2 linked regions of the Drosophila melanogaster genome follow. The protein of the gene in region 1 interacts with the protein of each later gene in a pairwise test. Each region holds a gene or a part of one and is shown on either strand. Other genes may lie near its edges.

Evidence for each region.
Region 2: the proteins of CG10340 (region 1) and CG17230 interact in a two-hybrid assay, tested with the Drosophila melanogaster proteins (one large-scale study listed by BioGRID).

What each region holds. Positions count from the first base shown.
Region 1 is NT_033777.3:16,607,394-16,622,053, reverse strand, and holds CG10340 (uncharacterized protein), read left to right. Parts: upstream 1-7,662; 5' UTR 7,663-7,705; coding exon 7,706-7,950; intron 7,951-8,006; coding exon 8,007-8,598; 3' UTR 8,599-8,656; downstream 8,657-14,660. Other genes in the region: CG14893 (uncharacterized protein), read right to left, coding at 1-315, 375-885, 945-1,057, 1,117-1,225; CG17560 (uncharacterized protein), read right to left, coding at 2,357-2,444, 2,500-3,211, 3,267-3,777, 3,835-3,947, 3,998-4,073; CG17562 (uncharacterized protein), read right to left, coding at 4,974-5,061, 5,121-5,832, 5,890-6,400, 6,457-6,645; CG12783 (uncharacterized protein), read left to right, coding at 8,712-8,745, 8,804-9,128, 9,191-9,727, 9,785-9,929, 10,000-10,405, 10,470-10,504; NPF (neuropeptide F), read right to left, coding at 10,914-10,946, 11,000-11,275.
Region 2 is NT_033777.3:11,432,243-11,448,292, forward strand, and holds the start of CG17230 (uncharacterized protein), read left to right. Parts: upstream 1-5,542; 5' UTR 5,543-5,638; coding exon of another isoform or gene 5,639-5,839; 5' UTR 5,840-5,857; intron 5,858-5,900; coding exon of another isoform or gene 5,901-6,123; intron 6,124-6,181; coding exon of another isoform or gene 6,182-6,444; intron 6,445-6,537; coding exon of another isoform or gene 6,538-6,645; intron 6,646-7,642; coding exon of another isoform or gene 7,643-8,393; intron 8,394-8,653; coding exon of another isoform or gene 8,654-8,743; intron 8,744-8,880; coding exon of another isoform or gene 8,881-9,004; intron 9,005-9,949; exon of another isoform or gene 9,950-10,064; intron 10,065-13,614; exon of another isoform or gene 13,615-13,752; intron 13,753-14,876; coding exon of another isoform or gene 14,877-15,924; exon of another isoform or gene 15,925-16,050. Other genes in the region: CG5276 (uncharacterized protein), read left to right, coding at 1-698, 753-1,050; Exd2 (exonuclease 3'-5' domain-containing 2), read right to left, coding at 1,314-1,722, 1,930-3,057, 3,120-3,334; CG5281 (uncharacterized protein), read left to right, coding at 3,938-4,981; sals (sarcomere length short), read right to left, coding at 5,639-5,839, 5,901-6,123, 6,182-6,444, 6,538-6,645, 7,643-8,393, 8,654-8,743, 8,881-9,004, 14,877-15,924.

The sequences.
Region 1 (14,660 bases):
TAAGTGGAAAATCATTCCGGTGGATCAGTGAGTGCTTTATGAAGTCCGTGTTGAGTAGTAGATTCTTTTCACTGGGAGCTAAGGTGTAGATGGCGGGCTGGGATATAGCATTTCGTTGGGATTTGTCTTTGGATGTTTGCCATATGCTGGCCAGAGCCGCATTTGCACAGTAGTCCACGGGCACCAAGCTGGCATAGCCATCTTTATCGTAGGTGGTCAGGCGGAGGACTCCATGGCTCACGCCATAAATGTGAGCAATGGGTCCGTAGAGATTATCGATCCAACCGGAAACAGGCTCCTCATGGGTCGCAATTACTGTGAGAAAGCCATGTTTATCAGTTTATCCTCTCCTTTTAACCACATTGAATACTCACTGACTGATGGCCGGAAGATACTCAGGGGAAGATCGCCGAACTCTCGTAGGACTACATCCTCCGCCAAGGCTTTGGTGTAGGTGTAGGTGTTGGGAAAGTTCCCAACTAGAGTGGGTGCCAGTTTGTCCATCATTTGCTCACTCAGTAGCTCACTCATGGCCAGAACCGAGTTCGCGTCGCAGGTCAGGTGTTCGGGATAGAATTTCTCCTCGATGCGAAAAATAACGCAGTTGGAGAACGCCGTTGAAATGTGCAAATAGGCCTCCAGCTGAAGCATCTCCTTGGCCAACTGGAGCATGAGTCTGGTGCCACGTGTATTGATGGCCAGTGCCACATGAAGTGGCTCATTGAAACGCACGGTGGCTGCTCCATGGATGACTATGTGCACCTCAGAAACTAGGAGCTTGCGATCTGACCTATTAATGCCCAGATCGGGGTCCAGACAGTCGCCAGCGATGACGAAGATTCTCTTCAGGGCATCTGGCTTTGCCTTTAGCAGGACTTCAAAAAGCTTGAAAAGTGAAAGCAAATCCTATGAGGGGCTCTACCTTGTTGTAACTTTTGACTTACTGGGTCCTTCTGCCATATGGCAAGACGTTCCTGAATATCCTTTCCCCTTTTGGGTCTCATCATAGCGTAGATACGTTTTACTTCCGTCGTTCGCAAGAGCTTCTCAATAATCACTAGGAAAATGTAGGTGAAATACAAACAGTTCACGTGGGTTCCTTTCCTCGGCTCATACCCTTTCCCAGAAACCCGGTGGCGCCTGTTAGGAACACCACCTTGTCTTTATAAAATCCTTGGATGCCGTTGTCCATTTCCGTTCTGGATACGATATTGTTCGGCGTCATTGTGAACAAATTCCACCGATGCGATAATTGCGAGTTAAAGACACACTTCAATAGGAAATCAATTGGGTATGGTCGCGCTTTTTATATTTGCTGCGACGGTAGACGCAGTGCCATTTGAACAGTGACCCGGCCAATCGTATGCTAAATTATATGAAATACACCTGAAATACCTAATGAATAGTCACAGCTACGGTTGAATTGCATTTCTCGGTTCTCGGCTGATTTGAGAACTGCACTGTCATCCGTGCTCGTTTGTTTTACTTTAAACACTGTTGCAGCACAATTGGAAATTTTGTTAAATAATGAAAGTTCGTTCTCCACGCCATTTTGATTAGCGTAACTCAGAAATTAAATGCAGATATTATGACAAATATTCTTCCTGGTTTTATTTGAAGAAAAGGTTAACAGGGACTGGAAATATTCGTTTTGTAATATTTAGGATCGGCTTTTGGGATCCAAACAAGAATATTTCTCTTTCCCTCTTTTTCCAAATAATTTAAATATTTTAAAAACCGCTGAAAAAAACTTAAGTCGAACATTTTTACGGATTATACCTTGATCGTACGAAACATACAAAAAATATAGATATGTAAAATATAGATGTATGTAGAAAGCTTAAAATAAATTTGTCAAAAATAAATTGGGTCCTTGAATAAATTTTCAACGAACGGAAGCCTTTTTAAATTTGTAGAAATTTTGTAGAAAAAGATTATAAATTCCCGACATATCTTAGAAATTAGTTTATAAATTTCAAAGCATACTCTTAGGCATCCACCTAAAAGGAGTTGTAAAAAGTTGCTAACGAAGTCATACAAATGTGCTCTACTCTTTTTTTTTATCATATCGAGTGATCCAGGAATCGAAAGGTGAAGAATAAGCCAAAAAGGATCGCATCCCAATGGCTTTGATGGCTCCGTACCAAAAATTTACAAATACAACAAACTGTATTTATTTAGTCGATTGCAAATTTATTTTTCGTCTCTAAAATAAATCTCTGCTGTTTTGCAAGTCACTGTGCAAATGACACTAGGTTTTTCGTTTTTATATTTTATTTTTGATAATTAATTTAAGCATCAAAATAATATGTCATACCGTTGAGTCTGTTGAGGACATCTAGCCCCTCTGCGAAAACTAAACTACAAGTCTGGCCAGAGAATACAGGATGTAACCAGCTAAAGCAACCAGCGAGGATGCGAATGCATAGTGAAGGACCTTCAGGCTGCAAACATTTTATGTTACTTAAAGCGATTGGAAAGTGTCATTTTGAAACTCACCGCATCCTCAGCTTCAGACCCTTGGCAATGGACTCCGCGGTGGGTTTCTCCTTGCCAATATAGAGACGCATTCCATACATGGCGGCCTTGAAATAGTCATTCCAATCCAACTGGGCCATGTCGAAGTCGTAAAGGTTGCGATCCTGCTTGGACATCGCTTCCCTTAGCTCCATTGTGTTGGTCATGTCAAAGTTCCAGGTGGTACTGGAGAACGGACCCAGGACGGCGATGTTCTTGTGAATCTTCCGATACAGATCCACGAGTATGGGCTTCCGGCCCTTGAGGCGCAGCAGCAGATCGAAGAAGTAGCCGGGAAGGGTGTGTAAGAAGAAGGCGGCCAGCGGAAATAGGGATGTGGTGGAGATGCACAGGACGAAGGGATACCACAGCATCTTGGTTAGCGGTATGATGTCCCGATAGATAATAGATGATTTGATAAAGTTTCCGTAGCTCATCAGGTTATTCTCGCTAGGTGCAAACGCGTAAATGGGGGGCGTCGTGACCTTTCCATTCTGTACGGATATCTCCGCCGTTCTCCAAGCGCAAGCCAATGCCACATTTACGCAGTAGTCAGCGGGAACTAGGCTGATCTTGGCTGAAGGGTCCACCGTGGTGACCCGCATTATACCGCGAGCTCCGCCGAAGCAGAGGGCCAGTGGTCCGAATAGGTTGTCCACCCATCCAACCAGGGGCTCCTTGTAAGTGGACATTACTGGGAATATTTAAGTTGCAGCTTTTGAAGGTTATTCCCAATCTGGTGCACTTACTGATCGCCGGTCGGAAGATGGACAGTGGCAGGTTGCCCGCCTCCCGCAGGATCACATCCTCGGCCAGGGCTTTGGTGTAGGTGTACGTGTTGGGGAAGGAGCCAACAAGGCTAGGTTCCATCGCGTCCAGTAATTTATTGCTTACCAGTTCACCCACGGCTAGGATCTTATCCGAACTGCAGTTCAAGTGCTCCGGATAGAATCGCTCTGCGATGTCATGCACCACGCAGTTGGAGTAGGCAGTGGATACGTGAACGAAGGACACCAGCTGGGTCATCTGCTTGGCCAGTTGAAGCATCAGACGAGTGGCTCGTACATTGATGGCCAAGGAGATGTGTAAAGCCTCGTCGAATCGCACGGTTGCAGCTCCATGGATTACAATCTGCACCTCGGCGGTCAGGATCCTTTGATCCGATTGGCTTATACCCAGATCCGGATCCAAGCAGTCGCCCGCGATGGGACAAACTCGCTGCAAGGCATCTGGCTTCGTCCTTAGGAGCACCTCAAACACCTTCGAAACACGAGCGGTCAGGACACATCTGTCACTCTAGCACTGAATATCACTCACCGGATCCTTTGCCCAGGTTGTGATTCGGTCCTCGATAGGCACTCCCCGCTTAGGTCTAATTAAGGAGTAAATCCGATTGACTTCCGTGGTCCTCAGTAGTTTCTCAATGATCACTGAAAAGCACACTCCATAAGCTTGCGAAAAGATTCGAGGAGTGGGGTACCTTTTCCCAGAAATCCGGTGCCACCCGTAAGGAACACGGTCTTGTTCTTAAAGAATCCTTGTATCTCGCTATCCATTTTGTTCCGAGTAAGGGTCTTGAACGCGTTGCGAGCCAGTGAACTGAAAAGTGATTCCAAACTAGCGCTTCTATTTATTTGGGAATCTATAAGTTACACCCAACAAAGGTCGAGTTCAGCATATTCAAGACACCCAATGGTCTCCCGTTTTAGGGAGGAGCTCGTGCTCTAAACTCAGCGAAAGTTTATTTTTTGGGTATAGATAATTATTTGTGTTGCTTCGATTAAAGGCCTAGTTGCATTTATTAATTATATTTTTGCTTACGAATGAAAATAACCTTGGTGCATTTAATTTAAAATTTTAAAGTTGATTCGAGACTTAGTATAGAGCTGCCATCTCTTGCGTGAAATTCAAATTAGTATATGTGTGAATGGTAAACAAGAATGGTAAATGATAAATTGCATGCGATGACTTTGTATTTCCGCGTATATAAATTTTGTATGGGCACGTGTAAGAAGTCCCCGATCAGTCGTTACGTAATCGCATATAAGTATCCTCGTGACTACACCGTATATGTGCTAGACCTTGTATTCTGTATAGGAACCACACATATATATGTTATATCATAACATTTTATATACCAATTTATGGCCTATTTATTTCAATAAGGTTTGATCAATAGAATACCAGAGAGCGATTTCAATTAAAAAATTATTACATTATAATAGGTGCATACTATTGTATATATATCACTTCTTGATGTAACCAGTTGCGTATACTTTATGCAATCGATTGTGTCACTCAGTGCACCTATTTAGATCGGCTCGTGAGGAAAAAACCTTATAGCTACCACCATTCAAGTAATTAAATAAAAGACATGTCTATGTGTTGTATATATTTATTTAATTCCATGACGCAATTACGAAAGTGAGTCGGTGGGTTGCCTATGTACTGCTGAATCAGACTAGGATCCTTACCAACGACCACAGTGCTAGTAGTGCCACAAAGCAAAGGACACCTTGCAGGATATGATGGAGCAGCTTTAAACTAAAATACAATTAGATGTAATACACTTTGTAAGAAACAGAAAAGACAATGGAAACTACCGCTTAATGAGCTTCTTGCCCTGTGCAATGGACTCTGGGGTGGGTGCCTCGTTTCCCAAGAACTGTCTCATGCCACGCAGAGCTTGAACGAAGTATTCCTTCCAGTTGAGGCTGACCATATCAAAGTAGTATATCCTTCGATCCTCCTCCGACATCTGCTGCCTCAAGTGATCCGTATTCCGCATGTCAAAGCGCCAGCTTTTGCAGGCGAATGGGCCCAGGATGCCGAGAGTCTTGTGGATCTTTTGGTAAACCTTTACTAGTCTGGGCTTCCGGCCACTCAGCCAGAGAGCCAGGTCAAAAAAGTAGGCTGGCAGGGTGTGATAGAAGAAAGCTGCCAGGGGGAAGAGCCACGGCACTGTGATGCAGTGGATGAAGGGATACCATATCATCTTTGTCAGCGGGCAGTTGGTGCGTCCATCGAGAGCATGTCGAATGAACTCCCCGTGGGTGATCTTGTTCTGCTCAATGGGCGCCAGTTGGTAGATGAGAGGAGTTTCTTGTGTTCCCATCTCGTTACCTTCCACAATGGTCTTCCAGGTACAGGCCAGAGTCAAATTGGCACAATAATCCACGGGCACCAGGCTTGCCTCGGCATGGTGATCGATGGTGGCAATGCGCAGTACTCCACGGGCCACCCCGAAAAGAATTGCCATTGGTCCGTACATGTTGTCTATCCAGCCGGAGATGGGTTCCTTGTGGGCCGCAATAACTGGGTAAGGGTAGAAATGACAAGATGTAGACAGAGTACGTAATAAGGATTACTTACTGACTGCCGGTCGGAAGATGCAAAGTGGCAAGCCACCCGCTTCCTTCAGGATCACATCCTCCGCCAGTGCTTTGGTGTACGTGTACGTGTTGGGAAACGAGCCAAGGAGCGCTTGCTCCATGTTGTCCAGTAGCTCGTCACTCATCAGCTCTGCCATTGCAAGCACCTTATCGGAACTGCAGTTGAGATGCTCGGGGTAGAAATTTTCCTTGATGTTGTAGATAACGCAGTTGGAGAAGGCGGTCGATACATGAACGAAGGCCTCCAGCTGCCTCATTTCCTTGGCCAGTTGAATCATCAGCTTGGTGGCCCTTGTGTTGATGGCCAGGGCCACGTGAAGCGGCTCATTGAATCGCACGGTGGCAGCTCCATGGATGACAATCTGCACCTCGGAGGCCAGAAGTCTTCGATCATTCTCGCTGATTCCCAAATCAAAGTCGAGGCAATCCCCAGCGATGGGACATACTCTTTGAAGTGCCTCCGGCTTGGACTTCAGCAGCAGTTCAAATACCTTTTCCACACCTTTCGAGTGAGTATTTCTTTTAAATTTCCTATCGCCTTACTTACCGCATCTTTTGACCAGGTGATAATCCGATCCTTAATCTCAACTCCGCGCTTTGGTCTAATTAGCACATAGATGCGTTTCACCTCTGTGGTCCGCAAAAGTTTCTCAATAACGACTTTACCCAAAAAGCCGGTGGCTCCAGTTAGGAACACCGTTTTGCTCCGGAAGCATCTTTGAATATCCGTATCCATTTTTAGAAGTATGGTTTACGCTTGAATTGGCGGCGAAAAAAAGTCTATCCGATAGAAGCAAAAGTTGCAGTCGTTTTTAACAAAGAACGGCTTTAATGAAAATCACCTTGATTTCACTGCGGATATTTATACAAAATTTTCGACCGTGCGGTGAACTGAAGACCCAGGGCTGGTAATCACGAATAATATTATAGAACTTACTTACGCATCTGGTTTCCAATTTTATTGTATGCCAGGGTAATGGCTCCTAAAAGTAGTGAAAGTTGTTTGCTATTTAAATAAACTCTTCAGTTTACTTTATTACTGCACCCCTGTCTTATTTCCCTATATGTTCATTTCCATATTCTTTTAATCGAGTATAGCCTATTTGCTAACCAAATGCGCTACAAAGGAGGTCTAAGTACGGATTTCAAGTAAGATTATGAAATACGAACCATTTCTTGTTTGTAGAATTTATTGGCTGTCAGTGTCGTTCCCTATTGAAACATTTAATTTAGTGATGAAAACAACTAAATATAAAGATTAAATTACGAATATTTTGAAAAATAAATAATAAATGATACCCAGAAGGTTTTAGATTAGTTCATGATTAGATAACCGGTTATTTACATTTATTAAAAAATATTAATGTGTAATTTAAATACTTATTTTTGCGAACATGTCGACATAAATATGTAACGCTCTACCTTTGTGTTGAAACTGTGAAGATTTCAAATTTATCAACTTCCTATGTTTTTCCGCCAAAGTAGTAATGACTGTAAAAAATGTATGTTTGCAATTGCCTACTTTTGAAATAAGCAGCTAACTGGATTTGTTTTAAAACGTCATGGCAGCCTAGACGAAATACGGTCTGCAGCTTAACATTTTGTGTCACAAAAATAAAATAAATAAATAAAAAGATAATAATTATTTTGAGCATCGCGCATGTGATGTAGAAAAAGTCTTACCCGCGCCCATAGCCCATCGCTAGAGCCAACTATCGATATATATAGTATCGATTTTCTTATTGACAATCAGAATCAGCTGTCTAGTTGTATAATTTTTGATGTGAGGTGAGGAAATGGCATGCGCCAAGAAATTGCTTTTTCGCGTTTTCCTGAATAACTCTTTGACGGCGAACCGCACAATCACCATGTCCGCCGCGCGACGTGCCGAGGAGGCCATTGAGAAGCTGAAGGAGGACAATCCCTACTACTCCAAGTACGCGAGCAAGATTGCCAAGTTGCAGCAGACGTCGGCTGAGGAGTTCCTGGATCGCGTGGAGCGTGTGGTGAATCCCATCAAAGATGGGCAGAGCCAGGCCAGGTAAGCTCAGTATTCGGGCAGAAGACAATCCATAGCTGATCCCTTGCCAATTCCAGGTCCTACTCCGAGCTTCTGAATCCCAAGCAAAAACTGCAGGCTGAGCAGGCAGCTGAACTGCCCCACAAGAAGCTCACTGATATCATGAAACTGGAACTGATTGAGGACAAGACCGCCGAAGAGGTCTCCCAGATTTGGCTGGAGTACCATAAGACCAAGGAGGTCCTGGCCGCCACTCTAAGCACATCTCAGTACGAGAACCTCATGGCGCGCGCCAAGGAGCACCCCGTCTTTCTGCTGCCACTGCCCCGCAGTGAGGGATTCGAGTTTGTCATGCTCCAGTTCGCAGCCAACACCGTGCACTTCACTCCGCTTTTGGCGTACCAGGTGCACCATGAGAACGCTCCGGAGTGTCTCACAGTGGTTCACTATACCGAGGTCCAAGACAAGGGTGTAGTTCTCATGCGCGGTGAATACGACACTAAGGTACTCACAGCCCAGGAGGCTCAGTGTCTGGCCAATGAGTTGCAGATGTTCTACCTGAAGCCCGACGAGGGCAAGCTGCGCTTGCTGAACACTTTTACCCGTAAGCCGGACGAGTTCAAGCACATGGATCTAATTAAGGAAGTTGAGAACATACAGCTGGTCTAGGCCCTGCGATTTTAATCAAAATAAATAGAACAAACACGACAAGGATATATTAAACACGAAACAGTATTCGTTTTGCAAATTTTAAGTCCTAATTAATAGCCAATGCACACAAGATGGAGCACTTTGATTCGGTGATGGAAGATATTGGTAAATATTCAAAAGTCAAGAAACGCTTTGCATGCACAAGCATAGCTCACGCCCACAGGTTTCGGAAGGGTCCATCTCTTTGCCACTGTGACACTCGGTCTCCTGCAGATGCTCACCATCCAAGAAACAATGGGCATGGGCATCATTGGTCCGGCGGCCGTCTGCGATCTCCGCATGAATGAGGCGCAGTTGGCCTCGTTAACAGCGGCCGGCTTTATGGGCATTATATGCTCCTCTTACTTCTGGGGCTACATCACTGACAAGAAAGGTCGGCGCTGGACCCTTTTGCGGACCATTACTATAAGCAACTTGTGTTCACTGGCCTCAATGTTTACGGTAACATTCACTGGCTTCTTTGTCATGCGCTTCATCACATGTATTTTGTGAGTACCATGAGGAGATCGAAGACCACAGTGTACACTTAGAAATTTACGCTTTCCTTCAGTGTGGCCGGACCAAGCTTCGTGGCAGCCACCTACCTAAGTGAGTTCTGTTCGCACCGGATTATGGTCCGTTCCATAACTCACTTGTACATGTTTACTGGCTTTGCCATGATCTCGTGCCCTGCGTGGGCTACGCTCTTTCTCAGCTCGGGCTTAATAGAGTTTGAGGAGAAGTTAGTGGGCTCCTTGACACTAAGACCTTGGCGGGTTTTGGGTTGTTTGTACATTCTGCCGGGTGTGGTTGCCTTTTTGCTGTTGCTCCTTTTGCCGGAAAGCCCCAAGTTTTTGCTAATGATTGGTGAGACGAAAAGAGGCTTAGATACTATGGAGTGGATATCCCGCAAGAACACCGGACGTACTCTTAGCGAGGATCAAATGAAACGTTTGCTCGCCTACCAGGAGCACGTTCAGGTCAAGCGGCGGAAGGAGCATCAGAACTTCTTTCGCTCCATGCTGGACGATGCTATGCCCCTCGTTCGGAAGCCCTACGGCGGCTATTTCACGTGCGTTTGCATGGTTATGTTCGTCCTAGGGCTGCTGTAAGTATCGGTTGAAGGCTAGGGTCGTTATCTTTTGCTGATTCCAACAATTCACAGGACACACGGCCTGGGAATTTGGTATACGGCCATGCGAAACCGTTGCAATATGAGGCAGGGGAACACGAATGGCATGACCTTCTGCCAGGTACTTTTTGTTCCAGAAACGGGTCCGTTTATTGAAACTGAATCGGACTTGGACGTGGTAAGCCAAGAAACCTCCGCTAACTAGTCTGCCAACGTTTTTAAAAATCAACATATTCATAATTTACTAGGTCTGTAGTGACTCCTTTAAGGGCTTCAACGATTCCTTTGTTCTGGGCTTTGTCTATGTAGTGCTGTACAACATATCCTGGGCATCGCTATTCTGCGTGCACAAGAAGGTGATGTTCGTATTCTCCCTAGTGGCCTCCTCGACATTTGGATTTCTGCTTATCTTTGCCACCAACCACATGTTGCAGCTCTTTTCGCTCGTGTTCCTGATCGCTTTTCCCGGCATCATAATTGGGCTGCTCGGTGGTTCCCTATTGGTATTCGTGCCCACCTACCTGCGCGGCAAAGCCCTCTGTATCAGCCTGATGTGGTGCCGATGCGGAGCGGCGTTTGGGGCCATGTTGGTGGGCTCCAAGATCCAGTACAACTGCGAACTCTTCCTGTTGGCGATCTCCATACTACCCTTGAGTAAGATGCGATGCCAATGATCCTTGAATATAAGTTATGCCATTTCTAATTGCTTTACCTACAGTTGCCGCTTGTATGGAGGGGTACTTGCCATTGTGACTTCAGGGAATATGTAATAAGTAATAAGTAATTGCTCTCTTTAGCCATGTTATCCAAATTAAAGCGCGGCCCAAAAGTAGGCAAGTATGTCATGTCTTTGGGTTTTCATTAAAGCGACTTGTAGTATACTCAAGGTAGCAAGCTGTATATTTCATTTTTTATATTGCTGAAGTGAAAACCATAATTTGATCTTTGCACCATTTATTTAAGTATTAACATCGATTATTGGGGTAATTCATTTATTCAACCGACATCAAGACTAGAGTAAATACTTATTTCTGTAGCTGCAACTACTTGTTCTTTCCCAGCACGTTAAACTATTGCCCCGAAAAACAATTTAAATAAAAATGCGTATGCTAATAACTATCATCATGAGTTAGTGACGTTGCCATGGTCGTCTAAAATGGATTTAGAATATCTCCTCCTCATTAAAACCGCGAGCCTGTAACATAAATCTATAATTTTCCGCCCAAAAGTCAGTTATTCTATGCTTACAAATTCTCCTCCATTGTTGGCATTTTTTCCTAGATTTATGTTGTCCATCTCGTGATTCCTCAGGATATCCATCAGCGATCCGCGCTTTCCGAACCGAACGCGGGCTCTGTCGCCGTAGTAGGTGTCCAGATCCTGCAGGAACTTGTAGGCATCAGCCATAGTGTTGACATCGTTCTTTCGCGGAGGTCTGGAGTTGGACGCCTCCACTCGGCAGCCGGCGGCTAGGAGGGCAAGGGCCACACAGGCAACCAGGATGCAACGCATTGTTTGGCACATAGTTCTATAAATGGCTAATGTATGTTTATGTAGGATGTTTTGTGTATCATTATAGAGCTATATAATATCTTAACTCAGTTAAGCTTAATTTAATTATCACTGTTCTTTTAGTAATTTGTCATGAGAATCCGAAAGGCATGCTAACATTTCGATACTTCGCAAAGTTAGGGAAGGTCGCAAAAAATTAGCAATAGCTAATAAAAGCGAACACAATAAACTTCGGTTATTTTCTGTGAGTCTTTTTGATTTATAATTTTACCAAATACGTACACACATATTACCGATGGTAATTTATAATAGTTTTTTGTTTACAGAATCGATAAAAATGAATAGTTAAGTAAAACACGTGAGCGTAACAATGTTTGTTTATAATTAGATGGTGTTTTTCCATTTACAATAATCGATGACAGGGTAAAAAAAAACCTTAGAATTAACTACCAATATTAAGTAATTTAGATCTCGTATCGCTCGGGGACCTATTTAGGGGTCTGGATCTTTGGAGGGCCTCACTTAATAGCGGGCAATCTAGTATGCTAATTGACTAAAACTAGGCTATAACTCGGTTAAGTGATCGTACAAGCTTACTGCCGTCACTTATGGTCCCTCAATGATTTTTGGGCGGGACTGACGCAAGCTGCTCATACTTCGGCCCGGAAAATAAGCAAATAAAGCCGATAATTACGAGAATTACGCGAATTATAAGGCACTTAGCCTCTAGTTAAACCCGACTTGCGCCCACCGAAAGGATGTGGCTATGAATCACAGTTTTAGGGCCTATTCGTACTAAAGAGCTCATAAAATAGTTCTAAGAAAGCGCTTTTATTTGCCATACCTGCTCTAAATGACAGCTCATTGTTTGACTATATTATTTGATATATCTATCTACCATAAGTGTCTAAGTGATTTACGGGGCAGCGGGCCTGGGTGTTGTTCCGTTAGAAAACCCTTACCTGGTTCAACTGGGAGTTTGAGTATTGGAAAGCGCAACGGTGTCACAATGCAATTGTTCGTCGGACTGTATGACTGTGTAATCAGCGGACGCGACCGTGAATAAATGTTGGCCGAAAGCCATTGGCAACAGGTATTTATAGGAGTCCCCGGCTGGAGGATGTGCCCGGCTTATCATCGCCGACCAGCCCACTCTCCAACCTCATCCAGATCCCGAGCAGAAGCGAACGGAAGTTGGCCAAACGATTCGAAACGAAACGAACACCGTGCGAAACCTCTAAAATGTTTTCATATGCAGGCTAATTATGTGGCTGCTGTCGCGTTCAAACTTTCGCAGCAGCTGGAACGGAAGAGCCACCGGGAGTGGGAGTGGCAAGCGAAGTGGGTGGGCGGTATGGAAATGGGAGCGTTGAATGGAGAATGGAAAATGGTGAACGGAGAACAGAGAACGGAGATTGGCGGGCGCTAACAAATAGTGACAGTTGGCTAACGAGATATCTGAAAACGGGGCTATCAGGAGCAGAATTACGCATAACTGAATAAATGACAAATTTTCGATAAGCAGGATTATAGTGCCTGCCACTACCCCACCTGAATTCGTTCTCGTTTGGGTTCTCTGATTTACGTGCTCACAGCCTGGGTCGACTAGCTGACTAGCTGCCTAGCTGCAATCCTCCTTCCGCCTTCGCTGGCGTCAGCGAGCTGCGGCTCTGTGTCATTAATTATAGTATTTTGATTATTGTTTAATAACTGTTGGCTTAGACGGCGACGCTGATTGCGATACGATACGATACGCGACCCACCCGTCCCGATGAGGTATTAAGTGCGCTGCTCGACTTCCCATTGCTATTTAATTTGGGGTCAGGCGGTTAAGTCATTTCAATAGAGATTCAATCGGACAATCACTGCTGTAATCTGCTTGCCAGTGGCTACGGTGCGTATACGTAATATGCTTTCGCTTGTGGTATCACAACAACGTGACATCATGAAGCGGGTTCTCTGGCTCTTCTGGATGGTTATTAACTTAATATTTGTTATAAGCGTTCTGACTAATTAACGCTCTAGCCATTACTTACTTACCAGCGTTTTTCTTTTTCATTTTTGTCTCCGTTCTCTCTCCCTGCTACTGTCGATGTGATTACCGCTCCAATTAAACTCGTTAGATATTCATATTCATTTGCGACGGGCGGTAGCGTTTTATATTTAAATCTAATTGGCATCCAACATTGTTGGTTCCTCATTGTTCGGCTAGAGAGTTTAGCTCCAGTTCTAGTTCCATTACCGACCGCCAATATAGAGCACTAGCCTTTTGCTAATAATCGGAGCCAAGATAGGCGGTACATACTGTAGCGGTGGCTACTGGAAAAGCTCTGCCGTATGTTTACCTTGCGATCGACATTCATTACAGCATCCGCGAAGCGGACAATGTCTGGCCGAAGTCCCCTGAACTTTCCTGCACTTTTTTTTATATTACGATTATCATTACTCCACGTGGAGAAAAGTGCAATAAATTATTAATATTAATATATATTGTATAATAATTTGTCTGTCCTTTGCGAGTATTAATAATTTATTAGAATGTTTTTCGTAACACGGCACACAGTAGTCGTTAGATTTAACGCATATTTCCAAATAAACGCTTAAAATGTATAGTCCTGTTTTATGAAATACGTTTTTCAACCAATTATCTGATATTTACACTCGAAGCGTTTCTTAAAACACTTTGTTTCCAAAATATTGCTTAGATAACACCTCACTTATAGTTATTCTCGCTTTCTGGCCTCGCGACAGCAATAAACATCTTGTTTGATCAAAATCTAAAAGGTCGACATTTACACAACCACTAATTAGTTTTATAACGTTCTGAAAATGCAATTTTGGGTGTAATTATATTTGTTTTGTGACTCAGCTTAGTATTGAGATATATTTTTTAATTGCTGACCGAGTGTCACATGATTTATACAATATATAAGTTCTAAGGCCTTAAAGAAATGCATGTTAAGCATGTTATTCAAAGGATTAAAACCATTATCGTTATTTTTGTCGCATCTTTTCCTTTGGGGTACTTTCAGATACAGCTTAGTCATCAAACAGTATTTACTTAGGTGTTCCTATTTACATACACTTAGCAAGAGCTAGTATAGGTTAACCTATACGTAGTAAGTAGCTGCAACAGTTTCCTGCTGTGCAAGTTTGTAGTTAGCCGGGGAACCCCTGCACTGGTTCAAGGACATCTGCAGTCGAATGTTCCGCATTGAAAGCCGCCTGTGCCAGTCGAGTCTGGCTGTCTTTCGGGTTTTCCCAGCACCGCCTATATGCACTTCATTGTTCTGCTGGATGCGACTTAGCAGGGCTTTTGTCACCTTCCATGTGCTAAATTGCCAGCGTCACTGTGCCAGTAAGTGGCTCAGACAAAACTTGTGGCTGATGCGGCGCA
Region 2 (16,050 bases), 5.2 Mb from region 1:
GGTGGTCCAGTGGTCCAGGCCTACAATGCCACATATCCGCTCACGTCACCCATGGTGCTGCGTGGCGGTGTGATAAACTACCGGATAGCCATGATTGCCGATCTGGACACCAGTTCCAAGGTGAGCAAGGGCGATGGGAGCAGCACGTGGCGTAGCTACCTGAAGAAGGGCTACCTTACCTACACGGTGGCCAGGTCAGAGATCCAGATTAGCTGGGATGACGGGGCGCCGATAGTCCTGGAATCAGCATTTGCCCTTAAGGGCCGCGGAATGGAGCTATCTGAGCTAGTCACCTTCAACGGGCGCCTGCTCACCTTCGACGACCGAACGGGTTTGATATACGAGATTGTGAATGACAAGCCCATTCCCTGGGTGATCCTGCTCGATGGAGACGGACACAGTGCCAAGGGCTTCAAGGCCGAATGGGCCACAGTGAAAGAGCAAACGCTGTATGTGGGCTCCATGGGCAAGGAGTGGACGACAAGTGCGGGTGATTTCGAGAACAATAACCCCATGTACGTAAAGGCCATCACTCCGTCCGGCGAGGTGAGGTCGCTCAACTGGGTGGACAATTTCAAGCAGTTGCGCCTGCAGTCGATGCAAATAACCTGGCCGGGCTACATGATCCACGAGAGTGGAACCTGGTCAGAGGAAAGGAATCGCTGGTTTTTCCTGCCTAGGCGGTGTTCGAAAGAGAAGTGAGTAAGCGTGTCAGCCTTTAAATCCTTAACTCATCGATCTATCTTTGAAAGATACAACGAAACCAAGGACGAGCACATGGGCTGCAATGTCCTGGTCTCCGCCGACGAAAGCTTCACCAACGTTGAGACTGTACGGCTCGATCCTGAAAATACAACGCCCACGCATGGTTTCTCTAGCTTTAAGTTCTTGCCCGGCACCGATGACTCAATAATCGTGGCTCTTAAGTCGGAGGAGTTGAATGGCAAGACGGCCACCTTCATCACAGCCTTCGATATTGCGGGCAAGACACTGCTGCCCGAAACGAGGATCGAGACGGACTACAAGTATGAGGGATTCGAGTTCATTTAGCTCGCCATTCCAAGCTACCGCACTCCACTCTACTTCGATCCAGGTGCTTCAGTTTTAAACGTGTACATATTGTATTATTGTCCCATACGGTAAGCTTTATATTTATAGTCACCTAGATTAGTCCAGAGATGCTCATCTGCCTCATGAACCGTGACTCCTTGTCCCGTCTTGTACCATAGCACAAAAAAAAATTTTAGTTTATTTTTATTAAAATTGAAATATAAAACGTACAAAGCCGGTGGCAAACTCAGAAAAGCCCTGCATCACGTTTCTTTAATCTTCGCATCCAATCCGGCCACCATAAGATCGGCTTTATCGATGCGACCCTCGCTGGCGCGAACTTCCAGTCGATCGGCATTGTGGTTGACATTCCAGAGTTCGGGCAAAAAGCGGGGCTGCATTGTGTGCAGAAAGTGCTGCCGCCATAAGCGCTCCAGCTCCACCAGGCCGCCGAAATGATCGCGATATTGCTGCACCACCCGCTCGCCATGCTGACAGTAGTCGGAGTTTTCTACGCGATATTCCACGCTGGCTGCTTGCCGCAGGAGATCTTCTGTGATGTCCGTTTGATCGGAGTAGTAATCGAGGAGAGTCTTTTCCATTTCGGCCTTCTTTGCAGCGGGTATTTTCGCGCCATGATGAAGTAGTGCCTTGCCAGCGGATTGGACTCGTCTGGAAATAATAAAATGCAATTCAGATTCATTGAGAACTCTATGGAGATTAATTTTATCATATATCAGGGTATGTTTTGGAAAGTTAGGTGATAAAAAAGAGGCAAAATATGTCTGGTAAGATAACTGATAAGGCAATCTACATTCCTCGCAATGTATAATTTACTTTTACTTTTAACTTAGTTCTGAAAATGTATGGCATACTTACTTGAGCTGCGGATCATCATGGTACTTGACAGATCCGTCTTCCTGCTTGAAAGGAGCTTCGCACTGCACGGCCAGTTTGCTGCGAACCCTTAGATCCGAGATGTTGCTTAGCTGGTGGCAGGTTGGGCACAGGAGCAGCACATCGTCGGAGGTGTGAGATTTCATGACCAATGGGAAATGCTTTCTGTATTCCCGCGGTACCACGTTCTTCCGAATGTACGCATCCCGGTCACCACACACCACGCACTGGTTTTTCTTGATTGTTTGATAGAAGCGCCCCACATCTCCGACCGCTCGACCCGCTGGCTCGAAGTTAAGGCGGACAGTGAAGGGCTCTTCGCTTATATGCGTGCCCAGATTTTGATTGAGATACCAGGACGCCTTGCGCCTGTCAATTGTACACAGGAGTTCGCCATCGGGCGCCTGCAGCAGGCAGTTATCGTAGAAGTCTTTGGTTCGGGTAGCTATTTGCCGGTACGGTTGCTTCTTGGGCACCCATTTATTGCTTTTGGATTGGGTGGAGCCCTTTGAACGAGTTACTCCGCTGCCGGACGGGTTGAGTGTGAAGCCTTTCGTGAAGTCCACGTCGAGAAAGGGTTCGAATTTGTTGTGCATGCTATTGTCGTCCAGTTGCCTTCGTTGCCAAAAGTGTTTTGGCTGCAGATCCCTGCACAATTTTTGATAAATGGCCACCGCCATAAGTGCGTCGTTGGCAGCGTAATCAAGCTGTTTTGGCTCCAAAGTCTTGGCCTCCCAGTTGGAGCAGGCCAGGCGCCAGTGCTTGTCCAGTGTATAGTTCAGGTGAGTTTTGGAGAGCTTTCCCAGTCCCTCAGGTTTGTGGCCTGCCATTACGCAGAGGAAGCGCAGATCCAGTGTGCTGGCCACGCCTACTCCATAGTCGTGCGAAAGTTTCATGGCATCCTCCTGGGGTGCCACGCCCACTTTGATCACGGAATCGTCCTCGAGAAGCTCCCGCAGATCCTGGGGTATTTGTTTCATATGGCACAGTCGGAATAAGGCACATAGACCCCGATGGGAGCTCAATTGGAGCAAGGCCACTGGCCTGCGGCTGCCGCCCACGGTGATCCACTCGCAATCGAATCCAAGGACTTTAAAAGTCTGGCAGTGACTAAGAGGCAGAATATATATATATATTTCCATTGTCGTGAAATTAAAGTGGTTTTTACTTACTTCTTCAGTTCATTCAAAACCCATTGCGTGGTCGGATCCTGGACGGAGTTGATCACTTCTATGCGTCGCTGGGGCACCAGGCTGCCGAAGGACCAGACGCGACGCAGTGGACACAGCAGTCGGTGCCTGTGCCGCACCAGGACGTATACCAAGCCAACTCCTGCGGCCAGAATCGCCCAATTTCTTTTGGTGGCGACTGCCGATTCCCGAGTCATTGTTCTCCTTTCGGAGTTCAGCAGCTGATTGGCTGGCCTGCCAACTTACGTTTTCACAAACCGTAAAAGCCGGTCTAAACAAGTTTCGGAATATTTATAACCGTAATTTGAATGTGCTATGCCAAAATAGTTTTACAGTTTTAATACATTTTAAGCAAAACTTGTTTCAAATCTTTTAAAAGTTCATAAAAATATATCGAAATAAAACCGTTAAACATGACGAGTCGTTTAAAAAGGTGGCATTGTTGGCTGGACTAAGATCTTCGGGGTGGCAATACTGGCCCACAGGGTTTTCCGGAATCTCCATTCGCGAAAAGAATTAAAAATGTTTAATTAAACGCAGTCGGAGCGTGCAAACAATGAATAAAACTCAGTGAAACTGGCGGCGGGGAAACGATGTGCCATTGAAAACGCAGAAAAGGCGGCAGCAGACAGTGACACAGCGCGTAAATAAGGAAGGCAATCGAAAGAAATCGATTTTTCAGGGCAGGTGGGCTACCATTAGACTCCCCACACTCATGCACACATATTGATGCAAATCCCATTTGCAGGATGCTGAAACTTTGAAGGAATCCAGAAACTGTAGAGAAGAAACCCCACAGAATGCCGGAAAACCTCGAGCTTCAGCAGTTCCAGGAGGGCGCCCCGCCCCCAGATCCCGCCCCCCGTTGGCTGGAGCGCTTGCAGCGACGATTGGGCGCCGATTGTCCCTACTTGGGTATCCTGCTGGCCACGCTCTCCTCGCTCTTCTTCTCCCTGTGCTCGGTGATTGTGAAGGGACTGGTGGACGTGAACCCCATGGAGCTGGCCTCGTTTCGATTCGTCGGAGTCCTGTTGCCGGCACTGCCCATCCTGATATACACGCGACAGCCGGTGTTTCCGGAGGGCAAGAGGGTGATACTGCTGCTGCGCTGCTTCATGGGCACAACGGGTCTGATGCTCAGCTTCTATGCCTTCCGACACATGCCCCTGGCCGATGCGAGTGTCATCATCTTCTCCACGCCCGTTTTCGTGGCCATATTTGCGCGTGCCTTCCTCAAGGAGCCGTGTACGCTGTTCAATGTCCTGACCATCAATATGACATTGCTCGGCGTGGTCCTCATCACGCGCCCACCCTTTGTGTTCGGTGACACGGCGGAGAGTGAGGATGTCGCTGGGAAGACGTACGACATCTGGGGACCAGTGGCCGCCATATCATCCACACTCTTCGGAGCCAATGTGTACATCCTGCTGCGGGCGCTCAAAAACCTGCACTTCTCCGTCATCATGACGAATTTCGGTACCATCGCTCTGGTCTACACACTGATCGTTTGCGCATCTATTGGAGCTGTGTGCTGGCCAAGCTGCGGACGGGATCGTTGGCTGGTCGTTGTACTGGGCGTATTCAGCTTCCTGGGCCAGATCCTGCTCACGCTATCGCTGCAGATCGAACAGGCCGGACCAGTGGCCATTGCTCGCTGCGCCGACATCGTCTTCGCCTTCGTCTGGCAGATGCTCTTCTTCGGAGAGACGCCCACCGCTTACTCGCTGGTGGGTGCGGTGATGGTGATGGGATCTGTGGTTCTGACGGCCCTGAAGAAATGGGCAGGCACCCTGCCACGCGAGTCGTCGCTGCGGAAGCGATTCAGGCTCATCCTGCTGGAATAGTGTGGTTCCAGAGCAACTAAAAGAGTTCGCGGTTTCTCCCTCGTCTTGTCACATCGTTCTCACCCAATCCCGGCAAGCATCAGTGGCCGGCAGCAAACCCGGTTCATTCATCGTAGACTCTACTTATATCAAGGCTCAGATCGTAGATTAATCAAAATATATAAGAAGGGACGCGTGATATCCACTCCACTCATAAGTAAATACTCGTAGTGCGTGTTTAGTTTAGCCAATTTCGCCGATTTGTTGTTTTGTACATTGTTATACATGCTTAAAATACGGTAATAAATACAACTTATGAATAAAATAAAAACAAGTTATAATTTGCATTTGAATTTCACGCTCTTCTACATGCAAATTTGCACTACATTTTTATATAATTCATTTAAATAGTTATAAATAAACAATAAAATTTCAAATCTACAGCGACACAACATTTTACATTACTTTGTAAAAATTCCGTTACATGTAGAATACAGACGGCGCGACATCGATACATACATCGACATCATACATCGATTGCAGAATTAATTTTACATCCACCTCTAGTTTTTCGTTTGTTTGTTTGTTTATTATTGTTTATGTTTATATTCTCGAAGCACACACACTCGAAAAAACAGAGCAAGGAACGGAAACAGAAACGGAAGACAAGCTGAGGGACTAGAAGCCCAAATCGGCAATAACCGCGTCCAGTTCGTCCTGCAGATTGGTGGCCCGCGATCGCACCTGCACAATTTGATCCTGCAAATTGTCGACGTTCGCCTGGAGCAGCACATTGCACTTCTTCATCGCCGCGAACCGGCTCTCGTGCTTCTTCACGCGCGGCTCCACATTCGCCTTCTTCGCGGAGTTGGGCGAGTCCTGCGGAATACGGTACAGGTGAGCTGGCTAAATAGTTTACGATTCTCTGGGGCTAACTCACCTCTGGCTCGGACTCGCTGCCCGTCTCCGCCTCACTTTCCTCCGATTCGGACTCCTCGGACTCGTCGTCGGATTCCTCCTCTTCTTCGCTGGCGTGCTCCTCCTCGGCCTCCTCTTCGTCCTCGTCCTTCTCCTCGCCGTCCACATCGTCTTCGTCTAGCTTCATGGAGGCAGCCATCTTCTGCACCTCCTTCTCCAGCTTCTTAAACTTCTTGTTCTCCTCCCTGTCATCCAGAGTTGTTTCCAGTTTAAGAACAATACTACATTACAATTTGTACTCACTTGAGGATACTCTGGTTCTTCTTCATGGCTTGCTTGAGGGCGTCCTTCTCCTTCTTGGCCGCCTCCTCTTTGACCTTCAGTTTGGTAAGCTTGCTACGCAGGATCTTGAGCTCCTTGCCAGAGCGACGCTCCCTGCGCTCCACCTTCTTCTCCTCCGGCTCGTCAGGATCGCTTTCGCTGACCTCAGGCTCCAGTTCCGGCGAGCTATCCCTTCCAAAGTTTGCATCGCTTGGTCGACGCGATCCGTCCAAGGATCCACCGCCCTGCAGCCGCAGTTAATGCAAAACGGAAAACGGGAAAGAAGGGATACACACATTGGATTAGTGAGGGCATCCTTGAGCGGGGCCTGATTTTACCTGATGCCGTGCTGCATGGTAGTGGTCGTAGTGGAAGCAATCGTCGTAGTCGTCGTCGTCGTAAGCAAAGCAATTACTAATGTGCGGTCTGTTAGTGCTTGGTGTCGCCTTTGCAAGAGAGCGTGAACGGGTTAATCGGTTAGTTGCCGCGGAGTGCAATAGCAAAGCTTTCAGGGGGATAGGAATCGGGACCGGACGTGTCCTAGACGGGTCATAACACCGCTTTGGTCTGGGCGGAAGCAGAATGCGGGTGGCGGGAGTCTTTCATGCAGCATGCGTCCGGCAGTTGGAGTTTAAGGTCGTCTACACACGAGATCTTCGGACATTGTTTATACCTCTCGTTTCGTTTTGATAAAGATTACATTTTTTAATGTCTACCATGGCATGGCCAGGTCCATTATTTGCTTAAAGAAAAATTCTGGAACCTTTTGAGCATTTCCCCAGAAACTTGATTTTGTTTTGTCTGGAATTGTGTGCAAGCAAACAGATAGCACAGGTAAGGGATGAAGGCACCTTACTTGAAAAGTATGGCTTCCGAAATTTAATACAAATTGAGCTTTGATAAAATATGGTCAGTTTTGAATTTCATTTTTCGCTTTCTCTTGATAATAATTTTACTATTCAACTTGTCTGATTCCTTCTCAACAGCAAGCTGTCTGCTGGCTTCAATCAGATTTCTGGTATTTTAAGTCTCGTGTGCAAACCGTTTTTAAGAAGGAAGAAAACAAGGTGTATCCACGGGTAATCCTTTCCCAGACCCATTCCACATTTGTGTCAAGTGTTGTCAGCTGATCTGTTTCTCTGGCTACAGTGGCTACTAGGGACAACTAACGAGGGATCTAAGGCGGAGTCTACGAATTGCGGTGGCTTCGTTAGCTGCTCCCGTCTACTTGCCGCCCTCAGCGGACGCAGCGAGGCGACGCCGGCGACACTAAAAACAAGAAAGAAGGACTAGCTTCGGAGTCCGATGCTTTGCATACCCTTGGAGATAGTTATGTTGTAAATGGTTGTAATCCAAAATCCTAATCTCAACTGACAACACTTTGAGCAGCATCCCATTACCTACATATACATATTACCGAACCCGTTCTGCAAAAGGAATTACCTGAAGAGCTGCTGCCAACTTGCGTTCGAGCAACTGAATCTGGCGGCGCTGCTCCTCGATCTCCGTCTTGGCCTCCACCAGCTGCTCGGCGGTGCTCTGATAGTTTTGCTCCACCTCCTTGGACACCTTCCGTGCGTCCTCTACCTCGCGCTTCAGGGAGTTGACGTAGGTCTGTTCGGCGGTGGGCGTAGGATCCATGGTGGCCACAATCACATTGGATCCGTACTCGAGATTCTTTTCGCGTGACTTCTCGCGTTCCAGTTCGGTCTCTAGGGTGCGGATTTTGGCCAGCAGCTTCTTGTTCTCGCGATCCTGCGCCTCACGGTTTCGCAACTCCAGTGCCAGCATTTGTTTGGTGCTCTGCAGATCGTCGCGGATCTTGTCGATGTCGTCCAGCTCGTCGGGGCTTTCCTCGTCGATGGACATAGCCGATACGATGCTGGGCCGGGATCCTCCGGCTCCCAAGGCCGTGGCACTGCCCGGTCCGAGTGCATGGCTGCTAGGCGCCTCGCTGAGCATGTTGATCTTCGACTGCGACTTCTGCAACTGCTCCTCGATGGTCATCTGTCGGCGGAACTTGCGCAGACCGTCCAGCACCGGCTTGCTGCGATCGTTGGTCTTCGTTGGCTTCAACTTGATGCCGCCCTGGATCTGCTTGAGCAGCTTGTTGTGCGAGTTGCCCTTCTCCGTCTCGTAGATGAACTTGTCGTCCAATTTGGTTATCGACTTGCACGTCAGGATGGGCTGAGATCTATTAGGATTTGAATTGTTATAAAAGAGATTTTTGAACATTTTCGTGCAGAGTTATCTATTATTTGGCTGCTGGTACTTCTGCACACTTAAAATTTAAGTAAAAGTCATTAACATTTGCCGGATAAAGTGGCGTAAACGCAGTAAGATGCTCTAGGTACTCTTTCCTGTGGCCTTAAATAACTTCAGTTTTCATTCCCTTTTTAATTATCGGGAGTATTGCAGTCGGTAATTACTGCACAGCATGCGGACACCACTCACCTATCGTTGCAGGCCACATGGCGCAGCTTCTTGCCGCTCTCCACCTCCTTCATCATCTCGGACCAGTCGGGGCGCCTTCGGGGTCGAGTCCTGCGAATCGAAGCGAATCGGAATTATGGCCATTCTGCGCCTTCAAGGTAAAAACTATCCCGATGCCAGGATATTCGGGTATGCAAGCACTGGCGGTGGTCAGGGTTCATGGGTCAGTCGTCGAGGTTTCCACTCACCTGAGCTTCTCGAGGGTCTCCTTCTGTGTGCTGCTGAGCACTCTCTTCTCACCGGGAGCTAGGGGCGGGGGCGGCGGTGGCGGGGCCTTGGGCACCAGCGAGGGCAGCGGCGGCGGGGCGGGAACTGCAACAATAAAACACGGAATGCACCCAAGTGGGCGGCGGTTATTCTCTGCCAAATGGTGGGTGGGGCACTCGCTGCAAGTGGTGCAAGTGGGCGCGAGGTTTGGTCGTTGGGCATTAGAGCAAATCGCCGGGCGCTGCGTGCACTCGCGGTTATTAAATATAATTTTAATTTAATGAGTTTGCAATTTGTTTCAGTTGTTTGTTGTTCTTTCGGCTCCCGGGGGGTTCCTTAGTCAACCCGCCAGAGGATTCGCCACCCCAGTATTTAGCTGTGCTTTGCGAGCAAAGTTGCACCATACATATCAATACAGGGCAAAGAGAATGGAATGGATGGCTTTACACTCCGAACATTAAGGGTTATTTATTCCTTTTCGGTTTTTGTTTTAAAAGGTTCTGACTCTATCAATTCCCCAATTGTATTAGTTTAAATCTATTTTCATCTTTTCAGCTAGTACATTTTAAATCACTTAAATGCCAATCTTAAGCATATCTAACATTTTCCTTACAAAACAGAGGACCCAAACTATTATGTCAGCTGGATTATACATTTTAGAGAATACATTTTGGGAATTGTCTAGTGTTTTGAAAAATGTCAGTTCATCATTTCGCCTTTTAGCCAAACACAATATGAATAGAAAAGGCTTATAGTCTGTTTATCTGAAGTTTCGCCTGGTGTATGGGGGGCTCCTAATAGAATGAGAGCCTAGACACATGGCTGTCTCTGTCGGAAGTTGCAGCAGAGATTGAAAAGTTAGTGCCTGCCTCCGTTGCGGCCTCCGCCTACGTTTCGTCCTCGTCCTCGTCCTGCTCCCCCGACACCGTCTTGTCGTGGAACGTGGACCTGGCTTTGATGGTGTTTTATTGCCTTAACACCATTCATTCGATTTCTTTGGGACTCATACACAGGCATGCATCAAGATGGGTTTCTTTCATAATTTTTTATCGAATACTTTGCATTCCTTCATGCTTTTTCCTTTCGGCTTGTTGTTCAAAAGTGTAAAAGTCAAACAACAAAAAGAAGAGAAAAACAATGAAGGCACCACCACCAGCACCATCACCATCACCATCACCAAGTGATGAAAAGCTGACAAATCTGTTAATTAGCTTTGTTTGAGTGAGTCCTGGCAGGAAGCAGGGGCAGGAGATTTGATGCCTTTTGGGTGGGACTGTGTTACCAAGGCCACAACCGCCAGGGCCTTATCCTTTGTCTGAGCTCCGGCTCCGGCTCCGGCTCCTTCTCCGTCTCCGGTTTAGTCTGCCTTCTCCTTTTTCGGTTTTCCAGTTTTTCGGTTTCTCGGTTGCGCCTGGCTGGATCTGCACTTAATCTTTAAGTGGTTGGCTGCCTTTTGCGGTGCATTAGTATCCGAAATACCTTCCGAAACCCCCTCGACCTGAGTGAAAAAGAGGTGGATAACTTGGCCAAACTGGAGAGGTAATGAAACTAATCCGAACTCGTGTTACTTTGCCGAATAAAATCAGAGCAAACGACCAACTTGATTATTGTCTAGAGCTGCTTCACCTCAAGCTACCGATCCTGCAGCTCCTCATGAATTTTCCCCCAATGTCTGCATGTTAATGAACTGCTTCCATGGGGGCAGAGAAGCTCTGATTAAAATACGTGGTCAACTTTTCGGACAGCCAATTGAGGACGCGTTTAGTGAGTTGCGCTCAATTCGGTTTAGTAATTTATGGACAAAAGCTCTCCCCCTAACCACTAAACCCGCCCTCGAATCCCTGGCAGTTATCCTAAATCAGTGGCAAACAAAAGTGGAAGCGGGCAAGAAACAAAAGAAAGCACAACAACATCACGCGAAGAGAAACGAGGCAAGGGTGCCGGGCAGATAAAAGTCTTCATTCATTCATGTCGACAAAATTATTTCTTATTTAAATAAAAAGCAAGCACTGCCACTGCCACGACTGAAGATGAAGAGCAGGAGCAGGTCCTGGTTCTCGGAGCTCCGAGTTGAGATGAGGCTACCCACTTAATATACCGCAAAGCCCGCACTTACGACGTCGCAGAATGAATAGCGGTGTATGTAAACATAAATTTTGCGAGCTCACTCTCGGTGAGGCATGGCACCCTCCTCATAAAGCCCCCTCCTGGCTCATTGTGTTATCATCAGCGGAATATTCTATGCATGCACAAATGTTGCCGTTGTCATTGAATCAACCCGGAGTGTGGAGTGTGGAGTGTCGGATCGGGTCTTCAAAAACTGGCGAACCCCAGGCAACTGGAGTGGGTGAGGGAAATCTGCTGCTGCTACAGGGTACTGGTTACTGCTTACTACTGGCTGGTTACTGGTTACTGGGAAGTGGAGTTCTGGTCATGGACTGCTGCCAGCCCAGCCGCCCGATGAGTGACTTCCCAGCTTCCAGGCTGTGCTCATTCATTGTCTGCCGGGGCATGATGAAGCACCGCTCAGCCAGCTCATATATTTCATGACACAGAATGGTAGGGAGTCGTTCCCCCAAAGCTCCTTTGTATGATTAGCGTTTCTGCCTTGGCCGGAACGCTGTGCGAAAGGGCTAACCAGGGATTACATGGGGCTTTTTGTAAACTATTTGGAACCCGATTAGCTCGGAAATGATGCTGTTGGTTTACCGCAAAATTCTAAGTATTTCTCTAGGATTTCACCTCGAAACCAAGTTCATTTTCCTCTCTATGAAGTGCAGCTTAAATTTATATATCTTTGGAAGCCGCTTTGGTATAAACGAATTCGGTAATGTTTTCCTTTCACAATCATTATTAACCCTAAAATAAATACAGCTCAAATTTCGAATTTAAAGCAAAGTTTTACATCTGAGGTTGTCCAATCCAACGATAATTCTGCTTTATATTGCAGCATTTGTGTAATATAAGCTGTAACGTTTTTATAAAATAAATTAGATATCATATTATTTTATTTGTTTATTTATTTTTGTTTACCGAATACTTTTGCTGTTTCCGCTGGACGGTAATCTTTATTTAATTTCCTTTGTGCCTCCGGAGACGAGCCTTAAGTCCAATTAGAAAATTCAATTTCAATTTGGATTTGTTGTGGCGTCGTTTGGGGGACACTAATCCAATTATGCAGTCAACCATTTCATTGTCGCCCAGTATAATTATGGCCAACAGCAATTGGCCAATATTAGCAAGTGTGTATATATATATATGTGTGTGTGTGCCACAGAACTTTGAACCATTTTCCTTTACGTCATTTTGACCACGCTACATCTAAATTTGAAAGAGCCTAATCATCTTTTATGCTTCACCGGGTAGGTCACACACAGAAAACCCAAAATGAAAATCACCCTCACCTATTGAAAGTCGACGTTTCTAATGACGGGCAGACCCTAGCCTTCACCACCACCAACACCACCCACCGCTTGACCCTGGAAACAAAAAAGAGCCAAGAGTTTCCCAAAAAAAGGAAGGAAATATGGGGCGCAGCCGTTACATGTCTCGCATCTACAGAGGGATACATAGAGATGAGGCTCATTTAAATAAAAGAAAATATTTTTCGTCCTGCCGCTGTTTGTCCTTTGAAGACATTCGAGCCTCTTAAGAGGGGAACTTGCGGCCAGCGCCGTCTTTTATTTCGTTTTGTTTTTTAGTGGCGGATATTTGAATATAAATGGCGCATTTAGTTAGACTCTATCAAGCTCATTCCCATATATCTTTGGCTGCTTTCGGCTCGGCCACATTCTCCCCCCCACGAGGATTCACTTCCAATTGGAGTCCGAGTTGCCTTTTATCATTCGATAGTTGCCAGTTTTTTCTTTTTTTTTTTTTTTGGGAATGAAACTTAAGAGACCAGGACGCTGGCCGGCCATGTCCTTGTGTCTCCTCACCATTGCTCATCTGGCTTTAAAACATTCTATTTTATGTTGTAGTTTTGACAGAATGAGCAATAATCATGAATTTTGTCTTAGACCATAAAAAAAGCCCACTCCACTGCGGACCCTTCCTCACAAGATTTCACCCGAACACATTAAATAAATGTTTCGCTCTCTTTTTTCCTAGTGTCCTTCTATGCTGCTCCCTTTTTTTGTTCGCTTCTGTTTGATAGGGTGACAGCTTTAAAACGGACGAACGATGCTCTGTTTTATTTTTGGCGGACATCGTTTTTTGGTCATTTTATTTAGTGACCTCTTTGGCCAGTCTCCGCCTCTTCGATCCTTTTGTTTGTCGGTCAAGATTAGGAGGCATTTGCGGTCACGTTATTGCCCACTGATTAGGTCGGGCACAAAAGGCAAGTTAACTGCCTCACACGTAGGCGTAGCGGTAGCGGTAGCCGTTGCCTTAGCCCTTTCACCCAAACCATTTGGCCAGATCCTAACGAGCTTTTCACTTCATTTTAGTTGACTGCCCCAGGGGAAAACTGGAGGCCTGGCCCACGGACACGGGCTTTCTGCAATTCAATTTTGAGGCCAGGTGACAGCATGCTTATGCAACATTTGGTTGCTTTGTTTTTTGAAAGTCTTGCCCCTGCCGACTTGCCGCCAATCGAGCCCAGCCTCGCGGCAGGAAAGTCCATTGCAGAATTACAACCTTCTTTAGTTGAGAGTGTGTGTCTGTGTGTGTGGCAATAAATACGGAATTAGAGAGGAACATTTGCTCCGGCATACCTTTGTGCTGTTATGTCGAACGCCCTTACCGACGAGCGGATGGATCCTCGCCGGAAAACGAGATGGTTGCCCAAATAAAACCCACTCGCAACTGCAGTCAGGCAGTGAAACACTTTGCGCCTCTTTCGGCTCAATGCACAACACCCACTAAAATTTAATAAATAAAAAATGATATTTATATTGCTTTATAGCCTTGTTTTTCCCACTGTTCGTTCCTTCGTTGTGCTCGTCCCTTGTCTGTGTGCGCTTTGTGGTTTTTGTTTGGGCGAAACATTTTGATGAAATATTTTTTACACATTCATTTCAAGTATATAAATTCCCATATTCCTCCCATACGAGTGTGTGCCTTCTGCATACAGACACTAGAATATCGTATATTTTCCTGCGTTTTTATAAATGAGCAGACAGCGATGGTTGTGAGCGACAGGTTACAGACATTGATGGCAGCGTGAAGCTGTATTGGCCGTTGGAAATTAAATCTTACAATGGAAATGGATATCTTGACCAAACTAGTTTCATATTTTTTGCTTAAATGCCCACTGGTTTTAATTGTTGTGTTTTTTATGGCGGAAGCATTAGCACGATAGCTATCCTTTTTAAAAGGCATCTCACATTCAGGAAATAACTGAATATTGCAGTGCGTCGGCTTTCATGGCGTATGAGTAATTTTTGTTAAAATGCATTAAACGGAATATATATTGAAAGCAATCACAATCTTTTGTGTAATTACAAAAGCACGTTTTTTAAAACAAATAAATATATATAAAATAAATATTATATAATAAAATATTACTCATACGCCCCGTACAACCCCTAAATGTTTGTTCAATCGTTAAGCTTATAAAAAATATTTACCAAAAATATCTTAACTGTGACACATCTAATCTTTTAAAAATATTCTCACGTTCCCATCCCAAATGCGAATTTTTTTTTGCACATATCGCTCATCCGCCATGGTGACGCATTATTTGTTTTGTTTGCTGCTCCCCTAGTGGTGGCCTTGCCTTTTGGCCAGGGCCGACGAAAATCGGAGAGGCAGAAAGCGTAAAAATATAAAATACATATCCCCACAGCCGCCCGCAACGTAAATTAAACATTTCTGGTTAGAAATTAGACATTAAAGAAGCAGGGGCAAAAATTTACAGCGCTTGTTGAGTCGATCCATTCGCAGAGGTTAATCGGGTTAATCCAGTCGGGCATCGGGTTAGGTTCCATCACTGGAGCTGGCTCCGGATCGGATCGATTTGGATCGGACAACTTACCGCTCTTGATGCTCGGCTCGCGCTTTATGGACGCTTTGCGTAGGGTCTTGGTCGTGAACTCGGGCTTTGGCTCCTCTTTCGGCTCCTTGAGGAGCTCATCGATCTTGGGTACCTTCTTGAGCACGGGCCGGATTTTGGCCAGGTCGTCGGTGCTCTTGCTGGGCAAAGGCTTCTCCTCGCGCTTGACATGCCGCAGCTTGGGCTTCTCTAATTTGAAACGTCGCCGCCGGTCGCGCTCCTCCTCCGTTTCGCCCTCCTCGGCCTCGTCGTCGTCTTCGGTGGCCATCTTTTTCAAGGACTTATCCCGCTTGACCACCACGCTGCGTAATTTGGGTTTCTCCATGGTAAAACGTTGGGTCAACTCACTTTCCGGTTCCGGCTTCTTGTTCACGGTGGTGGGTCGCAATTGGGCCGCCTTCTTCACGTGCTCGGGCACCTTCTCGTCCACGGTGGTGTCCTCTTCCTCGCTCTCCTCCTCTTCGGACTCGCTTTCCTCTTCGCTTTCCTCCTCCTCAGACTCGGTTTCCTCTTCGGTCTCTTCCTCCTCCTCGCTTTCTTCTTCCTCGGAGGAGGATTCGGGTGGTGGTGTCGGCTCCTTCTTCTTTTTGAGCGCTGAAGTGGTGGCTACTGGCTTCTTGGGCCCCACGGTGGGCGCCACTTTCTTGATTGGCTCCGGTGCTTTCTTGGTATTTACGGGTTCTGGTGTCTTCTTGGCCGCCGTTGTGCTTGTGGCCAGTGAAGATTTCTTTACAGGCTCTATCGTCTTCTTAGCCGGTTCAGGGGTCGAAGTCTTCCTCGCGGCTGCAGTCGTGGTAGCAGTTGCTTTTGGTTTGGCCACAGTCGGCTTTTCTCCATTTTCCTTTGTTGCCGGAGAGGCGGTCGTCGTCGTCGCTGTTTTCTTTGCCCACGGAGTGGCAGTGGGCTTTGTGGTACTGCTGGTGCCACTGGTGCCGCCGTCGTCCTTCACCCATGGCGGACGGAACGTGGTGCGTCCGCCGGGCGCACTGCTTGCACTGCTTGTCCCCGCACGGGGCGTCACAAACGGCATTTCGTAGTCGCTCGAACTGCTTGCGGTCCTCCGGACTATTCTAGACTATTCCCTCTGGTGGTTTATATTTTTTTCCAGTCTTATTGGTGTTAAATTCTCCAGGGCCCGATGTCGTCGCCCGTCTGT